4 linked regions of the Arabidopsis thaliana genome follow. The protein of the gene in region 4 interacts with the protein of the main gene of each other region in a biochemical or structural test. Each region holds a gene or a part of one and is shown on either strand. Other genes may lie near its edges. The genes, in order: ZPR3, ESR1, DRNL and PHV.

Region 1 (4,503 bases), on a different chromosome or scaffold from region 4:
TTGGGAAATTATTTAGTTTTTAAAAATTTAATTAATTAGTTAACATTTTATGCTCAATTCATCCATCATAACAAAAAAAAAAAAAAAATAGATATACACATTTAGAGAGTGACTGGAGTTTATAATTCATATTCAAACCCAAGAGTGTGTGTAAATTTGACGTAGCATCAATTTTGGTCTATTTAAAGCTATAGTATTCTGATATTATCCATTCTGAGGTTTTATCCAGTATTACTGTTGTTGAAGGAAATGATTTACATGACCAATATTATCAACAACTGGTTTGAACCATAATAATTAAATTGTTCAGATGCACATGGCATAATAATTAAATCATTTCAATTTAGAATGTTAGGATAAAGCTTTCATTGAACTTGCTACAACACATGTAGACTATATATACACAAACACTACTATTAATATTGTTTTTCTTCCTCATTTCCTCTACTCTAGTCTACTTGAAAATTACATAGACCTATTTATACTTAAGAAGTGTTTGCTAATCCTGATGAATAATTAGTGTCAATTCAACGATTCAGTTTCCACTTACTGTCTTACTCGATCGGAAAATATCATGGACAAAATGGGTCACTTTTGTTTTTGTATGAGATGATATATCAATATTGAATGCGTTTTGTATATGATTATAAAAATCGAATAACTTGTCCCCATGTTATATACGATACATTAGTTGATTGATATGCACTTGACAATATTTGATAAATGGAGCAAAGGTACAAAATGTTAGTCCAAGAATCAACCATATCCTAAAGTCCCCAACCCCACACCAGAGGATCTTTAATTAACATAGAAAATAGAAACAAAAGTAAAAATATGACTGAGAAGACTAACAGAGAGACACTGTCTTCTTGTAATAAAACAGAATCTTCTTTTCATAATAACTACTACAGTGCTCGATACTACTTATCTTCCTATAATACACCAAACAAAATAAAATACTTCCAAAAGGTTGGGTCTTCTTTTAATCTTCTCCTACGTACGGATTCGAGATCTCTTGCTCTAACGTATTCTTGATTTAAATCAAGATTGTCCAGAAGCAGAGCTTGATTTGTTGTCATTGTTTGATCCATTGTTAGAGTTCTTAGTTTTGGAGAGTTTCTGTTTGAGTTGAAACAAAAGCTGTTGGTTCTCTTGATTCAGAAGCTCAGCTTTCTTCCTTAGTCTCTCGTTCTCTTTCATTATGTAACAGTTTTCAACAAACAGCTTCGAGTTTAGCCTCTCCATTTCTGCTTTCTTGCTACAAGTAAAACAAAACAAAAGTATTATTACGAATTTTGAAAAATAAATGAGAAAAAGAGAGTAATAATATCAATAAAACCAAAGCTTGTGTTATGATTATTATTGTTCATGTTAAATCATTACATCACACATGGGTTGTGCAGCTTCACACGTCGGATGTGAATTACATTAGCTATAGGAAAAATCATTTGTCGCATTTATTTCGTTTTCATGTGAATTTCTTTTTCTTCTTTTTATGAAATCAATGATCAAAGAGAGAAGAAGAACATGATTATAAATTTGTATGGAGGATAAAAAGATAAAGCTAATAAAGAGAAAGAAATTGAAGAAAAGAGATAAAAACAAGTAATCATGATGATATATATGCAGTAATTATAAATGTTTTAACCTCTATGGACAGAGAGAGTAATGATTATATTTGAAACGCTAGAAAAAAACAGAGTAAGCAACAAAACAAAGATGGTGATCGTAGCAATACAGACTATTAAAAAGAAAAATCAAACAATTTTTTTTATTTATTTCGGTTGCCTCAAAGAAAAAGATAAAGATTAAAAACTTTCCATCATTGAGGAATATTTTAAAAGATGAAAAAGTTTTAACATAGAAAAAGAGAGAAATTAAGGGTTTGTCTTCACGTTAGTTGTACGTGTGACGTTACTACATAACTATTATCTTAACGTATGAACGCAAAAGCGATAGATAACAGAGCAAGAAACAGAAACAGAGCATGTCGAGAAAACTCACGTTAAGCTTCTAGAACAGTAAGAGAGTGAGAGAGAGAGAAGGAGAATAGAGGTTATACCTTTTGGGAAGGAGTGTTGAGAAGCAGAGATAACGAAGAAAGATTGAGAGAGAGAAGAGAGACGCTAGTTTGTGTGTGTAGAGAAGGTAGAGGGACAAAGAGAACAAAGTGAGACACTGTCTGTTATATAGATCCCCAAAAGCTAAAGAGAAAGAGAAAGAACCTTCTCTCTCCTGACACAACAATCATGCATTGTGTTGTGTTTCTGCATAGATGGCGGCCGCAAGAAGAGAGAGAGAGAGAGGAGATTTGTGCATATTGCGTCATGTGAATGATGATGATTTATTAAAGAGAAAGAAGTTAGAGAGAGAGAAGAAAAAAAAAAGGAGTTTTCTTGCTTGCTCTTCTTTCGAAATTGATCTTCAGGGATATTTTCGTAATTTCCGAAAGATCCCCTAGCACTTCCTTTGGCTCTTCATCGTATTCGTCCTCTAAACAGAAGATTCGGTTAAAAGAACTAGAGTAAGGGTATTTACGTCATTACGAAGGAAGTAGTACAGAGGAGGGTAATATTGTCATTTGTGTAGGACTAATGAGAGGGGCTATAGTAGAAGAGGCCATCGACCTCTAAAGATTCGCAATGATGGTAAAGATTGGTTCGAACCATCATCCTTCATGATTCTATTTCAACCGTTTTGGACCATTTTGTAAATGCTCTCTTTCCCCATCTCATGTCCCGGTTAGCTCAATCTTGGTTTAGTTCAAATATTACACTCCACCATTATTATGTTTTAGATTATTATTTCGGATACAAATAGTTTCCTTTGTGTGTTAAACTATTTGTTACTTTTTTCTTTGTATGAAAATCATAGTATACCACAATTTGAAAATGCATTTTTTTGTCCTCTTATATTGTCTCAGCATTCAAGATTTGATATAATTATGGTGGGAGAAGAAAAAAAGAAAGAAATAATGAAGAAGAAGAGTGTTTGGACTTTGGAGCCGTAAAACCTACAAAAAATAATCATGGATCAAAAGTGTTGTAGAACGTGAAACATCATAAACAGTGAGGTGGTTGTTTTTGGATGTATTTATGACTTCTCTTTTTTTCGTAACTTCACATGCCTTTGAATAAAACTCGTTCGTTTGCCCATGACTTAACCCCCAAAAAGAAGATGACTACAATTTCACGTTTATTTAAAACTACTTTGGCTTGTGTATATAAATCTTGTACGGCTTCTTTTAACCCTTCTTTCACGGAATAAATGTGAGAAATTGTGTTTTTTGTAAATATGCTGATTGTAGAAGTTAAACAAAACTGAAACACAATTAGTATTAAGTAGGTGTGTCTTGAAATGGAACTAAAGAGTGGGTACACTTGCTTACACCAAAGGCAATGATTTTAAAGGTGTGAGCAGCTTCATTTCTTGCTGGCCTATGCAATGCCGTTTCTACCCCTCATTGCTTTGGTCTAAGTTTGACAATTCGGTTTGGTGTTGATTTTTATTTATAAAATGAAACTTTAATTTATAAATATAGTTGGTTCTAGGATTAATTTTGGTTAATCATAACCCAGTCGGACCAATTTTCACACCCCAAAAAGGTTGAAAACTTTGTCTCTTTACCATGTAAATTTCAAAAACCTAAGAATATTCAAATATTCGGTTTTGGTAACCCCTATTAATGTAGTAAATGTTTGGTATAGAATATTAGATTACCATTCAGAGAAACTATATTTCGCTTTTATTAATTAATTGGAATTTTCTAGTTATTTTCTCCTTTGTTAATCTAACCTAATCTTTTTTGAACTTTATAATATAAACACAAACGAATTAAAAAAATATACCGTAATTTAACTGATTAAAAGTCTATATAAGTTTGTGTTTATATGACGTATATTTCATTTTGCTACGTACTACTGTATGTATACATTCATGTTGTATGATGGAGCATGCCTCTTTTGCACAAGAAAAGTACTGAAATCTCTTTATTTGAAGGAGTCCACATCCACCTCGAAGGCGATGTGCGCAGTGGTTCGATTGCTATACCCGAGATTGATTTACCGGCGATTGATGTCGCATCATCTGCTGCGTCGGTGGTGGCGGAAGAGTTAGGTAAATCAAATCTCACATAAATGATTCTCTGTTCTATTCTCCATTCTTCGTTCTTCTGATTGTTTTTTTAGGTTTTTGGTGGTTAGATGTTTGCGCCAGACGATTCAGAATTCATAAGGTGTAAAGTGTGTTCATATTAGACTGCATGCAAACATTATCATTGCACATCTTAACTTTTAAATAAAGGACTACTACAGATGTTTGGATGGACTACTACAGAAGTAATTTTCATTTAAATATGGATAAATATCGACGCTCACGATTCAACAAGCAAATCTAGTTTGATATGAATTAGCAATATGCAAAAAGTGATAAGGATTTGAAAAGTTGAAAAGCAACAAAGAAAATATAACAACTTAAAATATAAATGAGATATAATTCTTAATT
Region 2 (3,568 bases), 6.4 Mb from region 4:
ATAAATAATTGGTTCATTTCTTGCTTTCACTTAATTGATTAGGTTGGATATATAATTCACATGTCCAACCCTAATCGAAACCGAAGTATTTCAAGTTGATATTATGATAGATACACTAAAATTATCTCAGAACACGAGCTATCGTAATAATTTACTTTGTGACATCGGAAATCACAAAGACATTTGCATAGGACTGAGCTGGAAACCAAAAGTCTTTAGTTCCCAAAATTATGAAGAATTTCTCAAATTTTTAATAGAAAATAGATAAGTTCACCAATGAACTCTTTTGTTGTTTTTACCATATAGTAATAACTATACTTAACAATTATTATAGTATATATTAACTCAACCTACCCCCCCAGACAAAATCTTATATCAACCATGGATACTGTTAGTTTGGTAATAAAAGATCTTGCCTATGGTTTCACATAGAGTTGTAACATTTCAACATTAGACAAAATGTTATCAGTTTAAGTTCATATTATGACTATGCACATTTTAAATTAAAACATTTTAGTTTGCTTGTAAAATTACAGAATTAACGCAGGGGTTTTAATTGCTGCTTATTGTCTCATTCAGTCATTTGCCGACCAACCAACATAAATCTCAATATAATGAGTTCATGACGTCATGGTCATGGTAGATGGTTTTATAATAATACCTAAAAAATCTCAAATGATGGTAGTAATTAAACACATATGACGCAAACGCAGCCATTACAACGCTATTTCAAAACTTATTTAAACAATTAGTAATACTTACCAAAGCTTTTGAAAGATACTCCAGTAAACTTGTCAAATTCTTATATTGTTCTAATAGACTTTATAATAAAACGTAAGCATCGGGCGATATGGCATGATTATTTCATGACAGAAGAAATAAATAATTTTAACAAAAAAAAAGACAGAAGCAATAAATAAAAAACAAGCTTCTGATACATGAAATACATATATGTCTCATACATACGTTTAGACAAACCTGAAATGTCCTCTTCGTACAATAATATCCACAAGTGTCAGATTTACACTGAAGTGTTGCTATGCATATCTTTTGTTCCATACTTTTCTTACAAAATCATTTATTTTCTTCTCGATATCACCGATTGGTGTATGTTGTAATCATACATTAACATTAACAAACAAAGATACTTTTTCAAGGATTATTCTAATTGGCAGTTTTAGAAATAATGGAATTATCCTTTACTAATCATACAGAAATAATGTAAATATGTTTAGCATGTGTGAAATGACTGTTGGTCGATTTTTAACTTTAATAAATAAAAAAGCAATAAGAACGTGGTTTTATTTCGCCACTCCCACTTGCATCGTCATCATCAAAGAAAAACACTAATGTCTAGACCAAAGATTTAAAACATCTACCCCATATATATATGATGAACAAGATAGCAAGTAAATTTAAATGTAAAATTAAATTTTAGTTTGCTAAGATTAATATACAAAAGAAGTATTATCAATTTATCAGTTATTAATCAAATCAAGTTTTAAGTGCAACTCAAAAGTTTCCATGCTTATATAGTTATTTGTATACTACTATACTGTATGTGCAAGAAAAGCATTTATACTCTTCGCCATATATTTCAAACTTCACAAAATTTAATTAAATTTTTATACCATTTATGTACCTATAAATAGATAGAAGAAGCTCCATCTCTTTCAAACTATCAACCACCAAAATCTTTCACATTACACCTTCCTTTTGTCCTCAAACCAAAACCCTAGAAACCAAAAATGGAAAAAGCCTTGAGAAACTTCACCGAATCTACCCACTCACCAGACCCTAATCCTCTCACAAAATTCTTCACTGAACCTACAGCCTCACCTGTTAGCCGCAACCGCAAACTGTCTTCAAAAGATACCACTGTAACCATCGCCGGAGCTGGCAGCAGCACGACGAGGTACCGCGGCGTACGCCGGAGGCCGTGGGGACGATACGCGGCGGAGATACGTGACCCAATGTCGAAGGAGAGACGTTGGCTCGGAACATTTGACACGGCGGAACAAGCCGCTTGTGCTTACGACTCTGCGGCTCGTGCCTTTCGTGGAGCAAAGGCTCGTACTAATTTTACTTATCCGACAGCTGTCATTATGCCTGAACCAAGGTTTTCTTTTTCCAACAAGAAATCTTCGCCGTCTGCTCGTTGTCCTCTTCCTTCTCTACCGTTAGATTCCTCTACCCAAAACTTTTACGGTGCACCGGCAGCGCAGAGGATCTATAATACACAGTCTATCTTCTTACGCGACGCCTCGTGTTCCTCTCGTAAAACGACTCCGTATAATAACTCTTTCAACGGCTCATCATCTTCTTACTCAGCATCGAAAACGGCATGCGTTTCTTATTCCGAAAACGAAAACAACGAGTCGTTTTTCCCGGAAGAATCTTCTGATACTGGTCTATTACAAGAGGTCGTTCAAGAGTTCTTGAAGAAAAATCGCGGCGTTCCTCCTTCTCCACCAACACCACCGCCGGTGACTAGCCATCATGACAACTCTGGTTATTTCTCTAATCTCACTATATACTCTGAAAATATGGTTCAAGAGACTAAGGAGACTTTGTCGTCGAAACTAGATCGCTACGGGAATTTTCAAGCTAATGACGACGGCGTAAGAGCCGTCGCAGACGGTGGTTTATCGTTGGGATCAAACGAGTGGGGGTATCAAGAAATGTTGATGTACGGAACTCAGTTAGGCTGTACTTGCCGAAGATCGTGGGGATAGCTAGATATTCATCATGATTATGTTTTGAGTTTTGGTACTATCGACTTAGTTTAAAGTTGCTACCTTTCCCAATGTTGGATATTAACTAAATTATGTTTTAAGTTGAATTTGCTAATAGGATTTCATAATTATAATCAAGTTTATAATATATTTTCGTAGCTAATTAAAGTTTATATCCACGTATTCTGACACATTACGCGCTTAATGATTTAAGTTGTATCATAATTTATAATCACATGGTGGAACTTGTTAAGAAGTTACGTAACTCTTAAACAGCTTTAAGCCTCTAACATAGTCGTAATAGCAAGAAATAATATATATGATGAGAGATGAGTAAAATAGGAAAATTCCTTTGTTCAGCAATGTTGGTATCGACCTATTAAAAGTGAATCTGCAGATGAAAAAGTGATATCCTTACATTTATTTGTTTGTAGTCTGAAAAGTGGACTAACGTTCGTACAAAAGGCAGTGTTTGTCTCTGTCTTCTCCAACTTTTCGTGCTCTCTTCATTCTATCACCAAAGGAAAAGCTGAACTACTAAATAACAAAGGTCAAGAACTTTAATATTGATTGATGTCAAAAAAATTAGTAATAAGTACTGATTTTTTCACATGTTGATTAATAAGTACTGAATTTGCAGAAATAAACTAAAATATATGCTTTGACCAAAAAAAAAAAACTAAAATATATGCTTTTTCAAAAAAACTAAAACTAAAATATATGCAGAATGAGTTTAATTCATTGCGAATATATGATGAAATACAAAAAAAAAATTGCGTTTTTTTTTGTATCAACTGTACCCACTACTCATGTTCGCAATTCCGTATGTTTCG
Region 3 (3,596 bases), 2.1 Mb from region 4:
TATATTGGGAATTTCTCAATAATCTATATCATGTAATCAATAGTGTTCACCACCCTATATTTTTTTTTTCACTACTCCACCCTATATATTTCAAAGCTATGATAATACTTCTTTTTTTTGTTGTCATAACTCATAAAGTTACAAATTAATTCTTTGTAGTTTCGAAAGACGGAAGCATGCATCAAAATAGAAATATAGGATTTTCTTTTCTTAACAGTTTTCCCGTTTTCTCCATCTGACAAATTGACGTCCATATCGTTTAGGTTTAGAATATTAGTCTGATTTCTATGAATTAAAGATCTAGCTAGAGCCGATTATTCAAACTACTTCATGAATTAATCTTCTGTTGATATGTTGTACCGTGTACGTACAAGTTGATACCACCGTTATATAGGTTCAAGTTTTCCACAAATTTCCACATTTTTTAAAAGTGATTTCGATTCCTTACAAACTGAGCTCTGTGGTGTTCAGCTTCATAATCCACTAATTCCACAAGGAGCTCACGACTTCTCTTCCTTCAACATCTACTGTTTGTAGACATGATTTGCCAACGTTTTGTTGAGGAAACATAGTTTTGTTTTTGTTTGCCTCACATATTTATTCCATTTTTTTGTTTGTTATTTTTTTCTTTTCAATCTGCATATTTTTTCGCGGCACAACCTAAATGAAAAAAAAATTACATGCAATTAGATATGATTGTAAATCGTTATATATATAACAACGGCAAAATATTTAGACACTCCTAAAAGACTTCTGCGTTGATATATTTTTTTTCTCCTACGCGATATATGTCAATAATTACGTGATAAACATAATAACATACGTGATAATTGCATGCAACCCTTATATTTAGACGATTGATAATTTTTTCTCCTAGGCGTGATAAAACTTTTTTTGACGGATTTTTTTTTTTTGCATTCAACCCTTATATTTAGGGCTCGAATATGAATGGAGCTTTACAGACATTAATTGATCAAGAATGTGAGAGAGATTTAGATTATTTTTTATGTAAATGCGAAATTACATTAATTATCAAACATATATATACGAAATTAGTGGTGGAGATTGATTTCCGTAAACGCAAAGGGTCATTAGTCACAATCGAGCTACAGTAGGAAAGCCCTAAAGAGGCTACACCATGAAGAAAGAGCCCTAGTTGAGACAAATCCACGTGACTTTGGTTTACAGATTAAAAAGCAAAACCCTAAATAAGCAAATCGACCATAATCTCGTAAAAAGAACAGACAAAACACAACCTCATGTAGAAGGAACAATTTCTGCGCGCCGCCAGTGTTATTAATTCAGAATCATAATTTCACGATTTTCAACCCTCTCCTTTTAAGCTTCAACTCCAACATCATAATTTTCCCTTCCACAAACTACTGTATAAATCACTTTTAACTCTATTGCTTATTATTATTACTGTAATTCATTATTATTATAAATTAATGACCATTGATTATTTCCCAAAACACAATTAAAGAAAAGTGCGTAAAGATTAAAGAATAATATGACCAACGGAAATAGCTGAAAACGATGACCTTTGAATTTGTTCAAAAATAAATGAAATCAATGATTTTATAATTTTAATTTGTAAATTGTTCAAGAAAGTTTTCTGAAATATATTCATGTCTTTCACTTAAAACAAAAGAATAAATCGACCTTTAATCAACAGTATCAAAGGACCTTTATACTCTGACAATAAGAAAGAATGGTGCAAGGGTTAAGATAAAAATAGTACATCATAATTATGAATTTGTTACTTGTCAAAAAGACATGAAATATGTAACTTATAACTGCTTTTATGCAAGTCCGTAGAAAAGGAAAAAGAAAAGACATGTAAGTTCGAACGTGGAACAAGAACTTCGTTAAACGTACTTTTGCTTTCTGCATCTCTCATAGATTCACAACTCACAAGTCAATAAAAGATGCAATGCAAGTCCATTTTTTTAAATTATATATTGGGTCAGGTCCATCTTAAATTAAAAACAATAAAAATGTATATTTTATTTTCTATAAATACGTAATCAGCTATCATCACATTCAGGTGCCTCACAACCCTAAGACAATCACAGAACAAAAAGAAAAATTCTTAGCTTTAAAAATTTCCCTTAGGTCAACCATGGAAGAAGCAATCATGAGACTCGAAGGTGCCGAGCACAGAGAAACCAACATCCATTCTTTGAAAAGAAAGCCATCAAGAACTTCCTCGACAGCTCCTGGCTCTCCCGGAGGAGTAACTACCGCAAAAGCTGCCTCCGGCGCCGGCGCTTCCGGTGTCTCTACGATAAGGTACCGAGGCGTGAGGCGTAGGCCATGGGGTCGTTACGCAGCTGAAATACGGGACCCATTGTCCAAGGAGAGACGATGGCTCGGAACATTTGACACGGCCGAGGAAGCAGCTTGCGCATATGACTGCGCCGCTCGAGCCATGCGTGGTCTTAAAGCTCGAACCAACTTCGTCTACCCAATGCCTTCTCTCGACTCTTATCACCACCGTATTTTCTCGTCTCCTCCAATGAATATGTTCCTTCTACGAGACGTGTTAAACTCTCAGTCTCTTTCTCCGTTAACCACTTTCGCTTACCCGCCTTGTAATCTTTCTAACGTAAACGACGTTGTTCACGAGTCCTTCACTAACGTCAACGATGTCTGTGAAGATCTCTCGCCTAAAGCTAAGAGGTCAAGTACCATTGAGAACGAGAGCCTGATATCAAATATCTTTGAACCAGAACCAGCTAGTTCTGGTCTTCTTCAAGAAATTGTTCAAGGCTTCTTACCAAAACCTATCTCTCAACATGCTTCTATACCTCCAAAGAGCAACCAACAGTCGGTTGGTGTTTTCCCGACGATGCCAGAGAGCGGTTTTCAGACAGATGTTCGTTTAGCTGACTTCCATGTCGAAGGAAACGGATTCGGTCAGGTTAAATATCATGGAGAGTTAGGTTGGGCTGATCATGAGAATGGGTTTGATTCAGCTAAGATGCAGCAGAACGGAAATGGTGGAATGTTTTATCAGTATTGCTTTCATGATGATTATTAGAATATTGTTGTTGTTCTACTTTTTACGTGCTTATCACTTCACAGTTTCTTTAGGGTTGTAAGAAATGAGGTTAAGGGTAACTAACTCAAATCTTTTGTCTTTTAATTTTTCGTCTAGTGCTATGATCAATTTATCTCTATGTTTTAGCAAAGAACAATTTTTATCTGAGTATGAGCGAAGTTAATTAATTGTGTATGACATATGTCGGTTATGAGCAAAGGTAATAACAAAAATAAAGTAAAAATACTCGAGGTGCTGGATGAAGACAATACCTAAAGGACAAAAATATATATCTTGAACAAATTAAGATTTTTTTTTCTTTTCTATAAGTTGACTTCAGAATCATAAAGACAGCCTTTGTCCTCTTGCTTTTTCTTCTTTCCCTTTTCCCTCTCAGATCACCGTAAGGGCATAATTATATTTAGGTTCACAAAATCCTTTGTCCATTAAAGTATTTGCACCATCAAAACTCAGTAAACATATACTTAAGGACTCGAATTTGCATCAATGTTTATAACCCTTATTCAAAAAAACCATATCCCAATTATGATCT
Region 4 (7,631 bases):
AACCTGTTAATAAACTTAACCCCACAGTAATTAAATATTAATGGGATATTAATTTCCAAAAATCGACCAAAGAACAATGACAGAATCCGTGATCCAACTGAAGATCGTCCACCTCAAAAAGTTCTTTATACACGTGAAAAAGTTCAAATGGTAAAATAGAAAACAATGAATTATGTTTCACAAGATCTTCCTTTTCAAATTATTTAATTTAATCTTTGCATATTTAGACTTGTAGCAACTATCAACAAGTCGGACACAACAAACGTTCATGCAAGCGTAAAGCAGTGCCAAAACCACCCAAGAAACCTCAAAGACGACCAAGGAAAAAACAGAAAACAATGGATGAAGAGAACCCTATCACTCAGCCAATACAATCTTCTCTTCAAAGTTAATGCTTGACAAGTCTTTACTTTAGAATATCTTGTCCCTCTGAAACGATTGTTTTTTTTGTGACAAATATTGTTGTGTTGCAACAGCTTCGATAGTTATGTTGGTTGGATTTATTTAAGTATGACTCTTTGGATTATTTTAAGTTGTTGTGTCTTTCTTTCAGCTTCTAAAATCCAAACTAATTAAGCAATTCAAAATCATTTAGAACGTTTTTTTGTAATAAATTCAAAATAGTTTTAAAGAACATCATGTGGTTTTTGCGCTAAATACAAATGTCTCGTTGTTTTTTTTTTTAGAAATTAATATCCCATTAATAATTAATTACTGTGGAGTTAAGTTTATTAACAGGTTTTAGTTCAGGGTTTGTTTTACTAAAAACATAGTTTAGGGTTTAAAATGGATCTGGCCAAAGTTAAGGGTTTTTTTCATTAAATTCCCTAATTTATATTCAAAACTTTCAAAACAAGTTAAAGGAAATAAAACCAATTAAGGTTAACCAAAAAAAACAACAGATTTCACGCATCTCACGCGCATAGTGACATTGTACATACTTGTCATGCATCGTCTCTTCCACATGGATACAAAAGATAGGCATACAACAACACCATCATCATGAAAATATGTACATGCACATACATACATACATACAACGTCTTAGGACTAGAGAGCAAAGAGGGTAGGGAAAATTTGATGCTATGTTTGGGTAGGCCACTGTCACAGAGCTTAAAGAGAAGTGCTTTCTTTCCCTAAGTTAGCAAATTACCCCATTTTGTCAAAATTCCGTTTCTTCTGACAACAACACTTACGTTTTACGAATATAAATAGTTGTAGCATGATTTATTTTTGTTACCAATAGATAAACATATTTATTCTTATCGATTGCCATTAGGACTAGGGATTCTGATAATAATTGATATGTCTTAAAATTTGCAGAGACAACAACTTTGCGTGTTGGTTTTCTCATCTGTTTGTGTTTAGCCTTAGTCTGAAATCTGAATGCATTTAAGTTTTTCAAAACTAATCACTTTCAATCCTTTTTAATTGTCAACATCTACTTGTCCTTTTAATCTAATCCAAGAATATTGAATACAGAAACATGTTTACACAAAGAAAATTAGGTGGTAATGATATGAATTAGAGAAGTGTAATCAAGATTCCATCTCATATTAAACCTATTTAAAAGAGTTGTAAGAAAAAATAATAAAACAAGTAATTATTTACTTATAACTATGCATCAAATATTACGAAACTTTTAAAATGAATTGTTAATCTAATTCAATCAATATTATAATTATCTATTTAACTAATAATATTTATATGGTGGCAACCAAAGAATATATATGGGTCCAACTGGTAATTTAGATGAATTGTAAAATTTTTCGGAATAGTTGCAAACTATAAAAAAGAGTTGTACGAGAAAGTTGTATAATAAAATTGAGAATAAAACTTTTTATAACGTTTTTGATAAAGATTTTATAAATGATAACTGTCAAAGTTGTACAAACTCTACCGCTTTGATAATGAGTTATCAAAGACATAAACTTTTATCCTAGTTAATCATTTTAACTTTTAGAATTTAAGCTTTGAATTAAAATTCAAGCTTAGCTTTGTATAAGAAAAAGTTTAAATATTTTTACTTTGCCTTAACAGTAAAAAGCTTTTAACCAAAAACATTGAATTCAACCTACTCTCCCAAAAATTTCACCTTTAATTTTTTTTGAAAACAATATTTACCAGTTTAGTGCATCTTGTTGGGTTGTTCCTTGTCCTTTCTCTCTCAGAAAGATCTTTACTTTTACTTTTTCAGTATTTTCCTCTCTCTTCTCTCTCTTCTCTCTCTTCTCTCTACTTAGCTGCCTCGCTTTTGCTCCTTTTACCTCTTTCCATCTTTCAATCTCCTTTGAGAGAGAGAGCAAATGAAAAAAACCCAAAAAACTCTTTTCTCCAACCATTACCATCTCATGAACACTCTCACAGGAGGCTCTCTCTTCTCAGAGAGCCTACCCATCTAATATTTCTTCATCTGAGTCTCTTTTACTTCTCTCAAAGTATCGATCTTTATTCTTCTTTTTGTAAACCCTCTCTCTCTCTCTGATTTCTACTGACCTGTTTGGAAGATATGATGGCTCATCACTCCATGGACGATAGAGACTCTCCTGATAAAGGATTTGATTCCGGCAAGTACGTTAGATACACGCCGGAACAAGTTGAAGCTCTTGAGAGAGTTTATGCTGAGTGTCCTAAACCTAGCTCTCTGAGAAGACAACAGCTTATTCGTGAATGTCCCATTCTCTGTAACATCGAGCCTCGACAGATCAAAGTTTGGTTCCAGAATCGCAGGTTATTATTTCTTTATTAATTGTCTTTAATGGAATGTTTTTTGTGTTCTTTGATTGTTTCTGTAATTATAAAATTGAATTTCTTTTGTTTGTATTTGGAGACAAAAATGTTCTTGTCTGACAATGTTTTTGGTAATCTTCTTGTTTTTGGTCTAATTGGTGATTGTTAAGCTTTTGAAACTTTCAGATCTATGTCTATAAATTTGTTTTTCTCTTTTTGCTTATTAGGCTTTTGTTGACACAGTTGAAAGTTAAAATCACAAGGAAAAGTGACAGCTAATCAAACTGTCTTTGATGAGCTTTAAAACGCCTCTCTCTTTTTTTCCTTCTGCAGAGAATATGTTGGAAATTACATTATCTTTTGTTCTTTATGTCATTCTGGTATCATTCTAAAGCAAAAAAGTGTGTGTTTCTTCTGTTCATTTTTCTATTATTTCAACACATTTATCATACTGCTATAGGTTTGTCTTTAACTTTTCTGGTTTCTTTTGGTTGTTTTGTTGACTTTTTAGATGTCGAGAGAAGCAGAGGAAAGAGTCAGCTCGTCTTCAGACAGTGAACAGGAAGCTGAGTGCTATGAACAAGCTTTTGATGGAAGAGAATGATCGTTTGCAGAAGCAAGTCTCCAACTTGGTTTATGAGAATGGATTCATGAAACATCGAATCCACACTGTAAGTCCTTGAATCCCTTTTGCTAAATGCATTGTTGAGTTGTTATCTTTGATGCTTGTATATGTATTTGTTCTTTAAGAGTTCTCTGTTGTTAGAGAGTGACTGGTGAAATCTCTGTGTTGTGTCTTAGGCTTCTGGGACGACCACAGACAACAGCTGTGAGTCTGTGGTCGTGAGTGGTCAGCAACGTCAGCAGCAAAACCCAACACATCAGCATCCTCAGCGTGATGTTAACAACCCAGCTAAGTAAGGAAGGCTCTTTTTTTGTTTGTGAATTTCTCATTGTGACATTATGAGAAGAGACTAAATGGAGTGTTTTTTTGGTAGTCTTCTCTCGATTGCGGAGGAGACCTTGGCGGAGTTCCTTTGCAAGGCTACAGGAACTGCTGTCGACTGGGTCCAGATGATTGGGATGAAGGTAGATAAGTTGAAGTATTTTAACGTTTTCATATGTGGAAATGAAGTGGTTTTTAGAAAATGTTTTAATATGTATTTTCATGGTTATGTATGTAGCCTGGTCCGGATTCTATTGGTATCGTAGCTGTTTCACGCAACTGCAGTGGAATAGCAGCACGTGCCTGTGGCCTCGTGAGTTTAGAACCCATGAAGGTAATGGTGTTTTCTTTTTATTTTAATCTTGTGTTGTAAGAAGCGGAAATTCTACGAAGGCAATCTAAACTTCAAATACTGTGTAGGTCGCTGAAATCCTCAAAGATCGTCCATCTTGGTTCCGTGACTGTCGATGTGTCGAGACTCTGAATGTTATACCCACTGGAAATGGTGGTACTATCGAGCTTGTCAACACTCAGGTCTGTTTCATAAATCCATGAGTGTTGTTTTTGTTCCTTTAAAATGTAATGATCATTATTCATGGTTGGTTATCAGATTTATGCTCCTACAACATTAGCAGCAGCTCGTGACTTTTGGACGCTGAGATATAGTACAAGTCTAGAAGATGGAAGCTATGTGGTGGGTATTAGGACCTGGTTTTGTTCATCTATGATTCTATTTATTAGATTTGCCTTATATTTGCTTTTTTGCCTTCAGGTCTGTGAGAGATCACTCACTTCTGCAACTGGTGGCCCCAATGGTCCACTTTCTTCAAGCTTCGTGAGAGCCAAAATGCTGTCAAGCGGGTTTCTTATCCGTCCTTGTGATGGTGGTGGTTCCATTATTCACATCGTTGATCATGTGGACTTGGATGTAAGCATATTGGATTTGTAATAGCACATTAGGTTTCGTAAAAGCCTTCTATTTATGTTGATTGATACGTTTTTTTGGTTTGGTAGGTCTCAAGTGTTCCTGAAGTCCTCAGGCCTCTTTATGAGTCTTCCAAAATCCTTGCTCAAAAAATGACTGTCGCTGTAAGTTCCATATAAACCTTATCCACCCGTGACCTGATTAGGCTCTCTTTATGAGTTTTACTTCCACATTTCAGGCTCTGAGACATGTGCGCCAAATTGCTCAAGAGACTAGTGGAGAAGTCCAGTATAGTGGTGGACGCCAGCCTGCAGTTTTAAGGACTTTCAGCCAGAGACTCTGCCGGTAATACATTTCCTTGATAAGCTTAGTTTTATTTTCTAAAGCATTGTTCTAATTGCTTTTCTTGAAATTCAGGGGTTTCAATGATGCTGTAAATGGTTTTGTCGATGATGGATGGTCTCCAATGAGTAGTGATGGAGGAGAGGATATTACGATCATGATTAACTCTTCCTCTGCTAAATTTGCTGGCTCCCAATACGGTAGCTCATTTCTTCCAAGTTTTGGAAGTGGTGTCCTCTGTGCCAAAGCTTCTATGCTGTTGCAGGTGCCTATATCATGTTTTGACACTTGTGAATAGACAAAAGAACCGGTTTCTTCAATTTCTGACATCATTCTCTTTTTTATCTGCTCTTGAAGAATGTTCCACCCCTTGTATTGATTCGGTTCCTGAGAGAACACCGAGCTGAATGGGCAGACTATGGTGTCGATGCCTATTCTGCTGCATCTCTCAGAGCAACTCCATATGCTGTTCCATGCGTCAGAACCGGTGGGTTCCCGAGTAACCAAGTCATTCTTCCTCTCGCACAGACACTCGAACATGAAGAGGTACAAAGAATCTCAAGAACATTTTCCTTGTTGTCTATTCTTTTGCCATGCCTATAATCCTATTTTGCTTACTTGTTTCTCAGTTTCTCGAAGTGGTTAGACTTGGAGGTCATGCTTACTCACCTGAAGACATGGGCTTATCCCGGGATATGTATTTACTGCAGGTTTGCTTTATACTAAAGACACTCAGGGATTCTTAAAGATGAGTTATTGAAATTGAATTCTTGGTTTCTTTTTTGCTTTTGTCCAGCTTTGTAGCGGCGTTGATGAAAATGTGGTTGGAGGTTGTGCTCAGCTTGTCTTTGCCCCAATCGATGAATCATTTGCTGATGATGCACCTTTGCTTCCTTCTGGTTTCCGTGTCATACCACTCGACCAAAAAACAAATCCGGTAAAAAGAAAACTGTTTATGATAAGAAATTTGATATCTTGAAATTGACACAGTCCTTTTTCTTTTATTCCTGTATGTAACGTTACAGAATGATCATCAATCTGCAAGTCGAACACGGGATCTAGCATCGTCCCTAGATGGTTCCACCAAAACCGATTCGGAAACAAACTCTAGATTGGTCTTAACAATAGCCTTCCAGTTCACGTTTGATAACCATTCCAGAGACAATGTTGCTACAATGGCGAGACAGTATGTGAGGAACGTTGTTGGTTCGATTCAGAGAGTGGCTCTAGCCATTACGCCTCGTCCTGGCTCAATGCAACTTCCCACTTCCCCTGAAGCTCTCACTCTTGTCCGTTGGATCACCCGTAGTTACAGGTACTCTTCTTAGAACCTTAATCTAAAGACTTGTAACAATATAGAATGTGCTTATCTCATTTAATAACTCAATAAAATGTTTTTCTCCGATGTTTTAGTATTCATACAGGTGCAGATCTGTTTGGAGCTGATTCTCAGTCCTGTGGAGGAGACACATTGCTTAAGCAACTCTGGGACCATAGTGATGCCATATTGTGCTGCTCCCTGAAAACTAATGTAAGAATTCTGTTTTTTTAAGAGGTGCTCAATCTAGTTTATGGTTCGGTTTGGGAATTGTCTGATTATTTTTTGGTTCTCAGGCCTCACCGGTATTCACATTTGCAAACCAAGCTGGTTTAGACATGCTTGAAACTACACTTGTGGCACTTCAGGATATAATGCTCGACAAAACACTTGATGACTCTGGTCGTAGAGCTCTTTGCTCCGAGTTCGCCAAGATCATGCAGCAGGTTAAACATTTTCTAGCTAGTCTTTTAAGTCTTTCCCTGGAAAATACTAAGTTTGGATTGAATCTTCTTCAGGGATATGCGAATCTTCCGGCAGGAATATGTGTGTCGAGCATGGGCAGACCGGTTTCGTATGAGCAAGCGACGGTGTGGAAAGTTGTTGATGACAACGAATCAAACCACTGCTTGGCTTTTACCCTCGTTAGTTGGTCGTTTGTTTGATGAAGGAAAAGGTTGGTTATGTTAGATATTAAAAGTTAGGGGATGTTGTTTTTGGCTAAGGTTTGTTGAATTAGAGAGTCCATAACTCTATATGTAATATGGAAAAATTCTGATGATAATCTCTTTAATCAATTATGACATTATGTATGGCAAGATATTTATTTTTATTTATGTTTTGGACTTGTTTCGTTTTTCTTCATCTTCCTTTTACGAAATTTGATATATATATATATATATATATATATATATATATATATATATAGATAGATATAAGATGAATTATTATTAGTAATCTTATAAGTTTTTATCATGTGTTAATGTACAAATATAAACACAAAGATTGGCCTCAAAAGCATGTCGAATAAACTAAATTAATCATCATAGTTTTTGGCAAAAAACGTTTAATGGACTTGGTAGCTCATATGTAACATGAAAAATGTATGCGGAGTTTAGGTTGTATGCATAAATAATAATCATCCAAAAGATTAGATTTGAATGAATCTTTGACATTAAATGATCAATAATCATTACTAGTATTTATCTATTAAATTGAAATAGTATCTATCACAAGAAAACTAGTCATGATGATGCTGTTCTTTGACTTCTAGGCTGGAGGAACCTATAAACTTTTCTTTTGGGTAGTCTAGTTAGTAATGGAAGTTGATAAATAGCTTTTCTTTTGGACAGAAACCTACAAAACTCTTA

The links.
Region 1: the proteins of PHV (region 4) and ZPR3 form a complex in vitro, tested with the Arabidopsis thaliana proteins (one study listed by BioGRID).
Region 2: the proteins of PHV (region 4) and ESR1 form a complex in vitro, tested with the Arabidopsis thaliana proteins (one study listed by BioGRID).
Region 3: the proteins of PHV (region 4) and DRNL form a complex in vitro, tested with the Arabidopsis thaliana proteins (one study listed by BioGRID).

What each region holds. Positions count from the first base shown.
Region 1 is NC_003074.8:19,556,850-19,561,352, forward strand, and holds ZPR3 (binding protein), read right to left. Parts: upstream 2,475-4,503; 5' UTR 2,063-2,474; intron 1,259-2,062; 5' UTR 1,246-1,258; coding exon 1,042-1,245; 3' UTR 667-1,041; downstream 1-666. UniProt on the Arabidopsis thaliana protein: Competitive inhibitor of the HD-ZIPIII transcription factors in shoot apical meristem (SAM) development. Acts by forming non-functional heterodimers. Part of a negative feedback loop. Involved in SAM development and lateral organ patterning.
Region 2 is NC_003070.9:4,428,043-4,431,610, forward strand, and holds ESR1 (Integrase-type DNA-binding superfamily protein), read left to right. Parts: upstream 1-1,675; 5' UTR 1,676-1,748; coding exon 1,749-2,735; 3' UTR 2,736-2,923; downstream 2,924-3,568. UniProt on the Arabidopsis thaliana protein: Regulates gene expression patterns in meristems and thus modulates organ development. Required for correct embryo patterning and cotyledon organogenesis. Modulates auxin signaling pathway in early embryos.
Region 3 is NC_003070.9:8,713,836-8,717,431, reverse strand, and holds DRNL (DORNROSCHEN-like protein), read left to right. Parts: upstream 1-2,053; 5' UTR 2,054-2,122; coding exon 2,123-3,043; 3' UTR 3,044-3,067; downstream 3,068-3,596. UniProt on the Arabidopsis thaliana protein: Required for correct embryo patterning and cotyledon organogenesis. May positively regulate the gibberellin signaling pathway leading to germination, hypocotyl elongation, and leaf expansion.
Region 4 is NC_003070.9:10,795,623-10,803,253, reverse strand, and holds PHV (Homeobox-leucine zipper family protein / lipid-binding START domain-containing protein), read left to right. Parts: upstream 1-2,160; 5' UTR 2,161-2,509; coding exon 2,510-2,730; intron 2,731-3,241; coding exon 3,242-3,401; intron 3,402-3,531; coding exon 3,532-3,647; intron 3,648-3,728; coding exon 3,729-3,819; intron 3,820-3,914; coding exon 3,915-4,010; intron 4,011-4,096; coding exon 4,097-4,210; intron 4,211-4,286; coding exon 4,287-4,370; intron 4,371-4,448; coding exon 4,449-4,604; intron 4,605-4,690; coding exon 4,691-4,765; intron 4,766-4,839; coding exon 4,840-4,946; intron 4,947-5,018; coding exon 5,019-5,208; intron 5,209-5,300; coding exon 5,301-5,489; intron 5,490-5,572; coding exon 5,573-5,653; intron 5,654-5,739; coding exon 5,740-5,880; intron 5,881-5,968; coding exon 5,969-6,258; intron 6,259-6,356; coding exon 6,357-6,474; intron 6,475-6,557; coding exon 6,558-6,707; intron 6,708-6,779; coding exon 6,780-6,926; 3' UTR 6,927-7,130; downstream 7,131-7,631. UniProt on the Arabidopsis thaliana protein: Probable transcription factor involved in the determination of adaxial-abaxial polarity in ovule primordium. Specifies adaxial leaf fates. Binds to the DNA sequence 5'-GTAAT[GC]ATTAC-3'.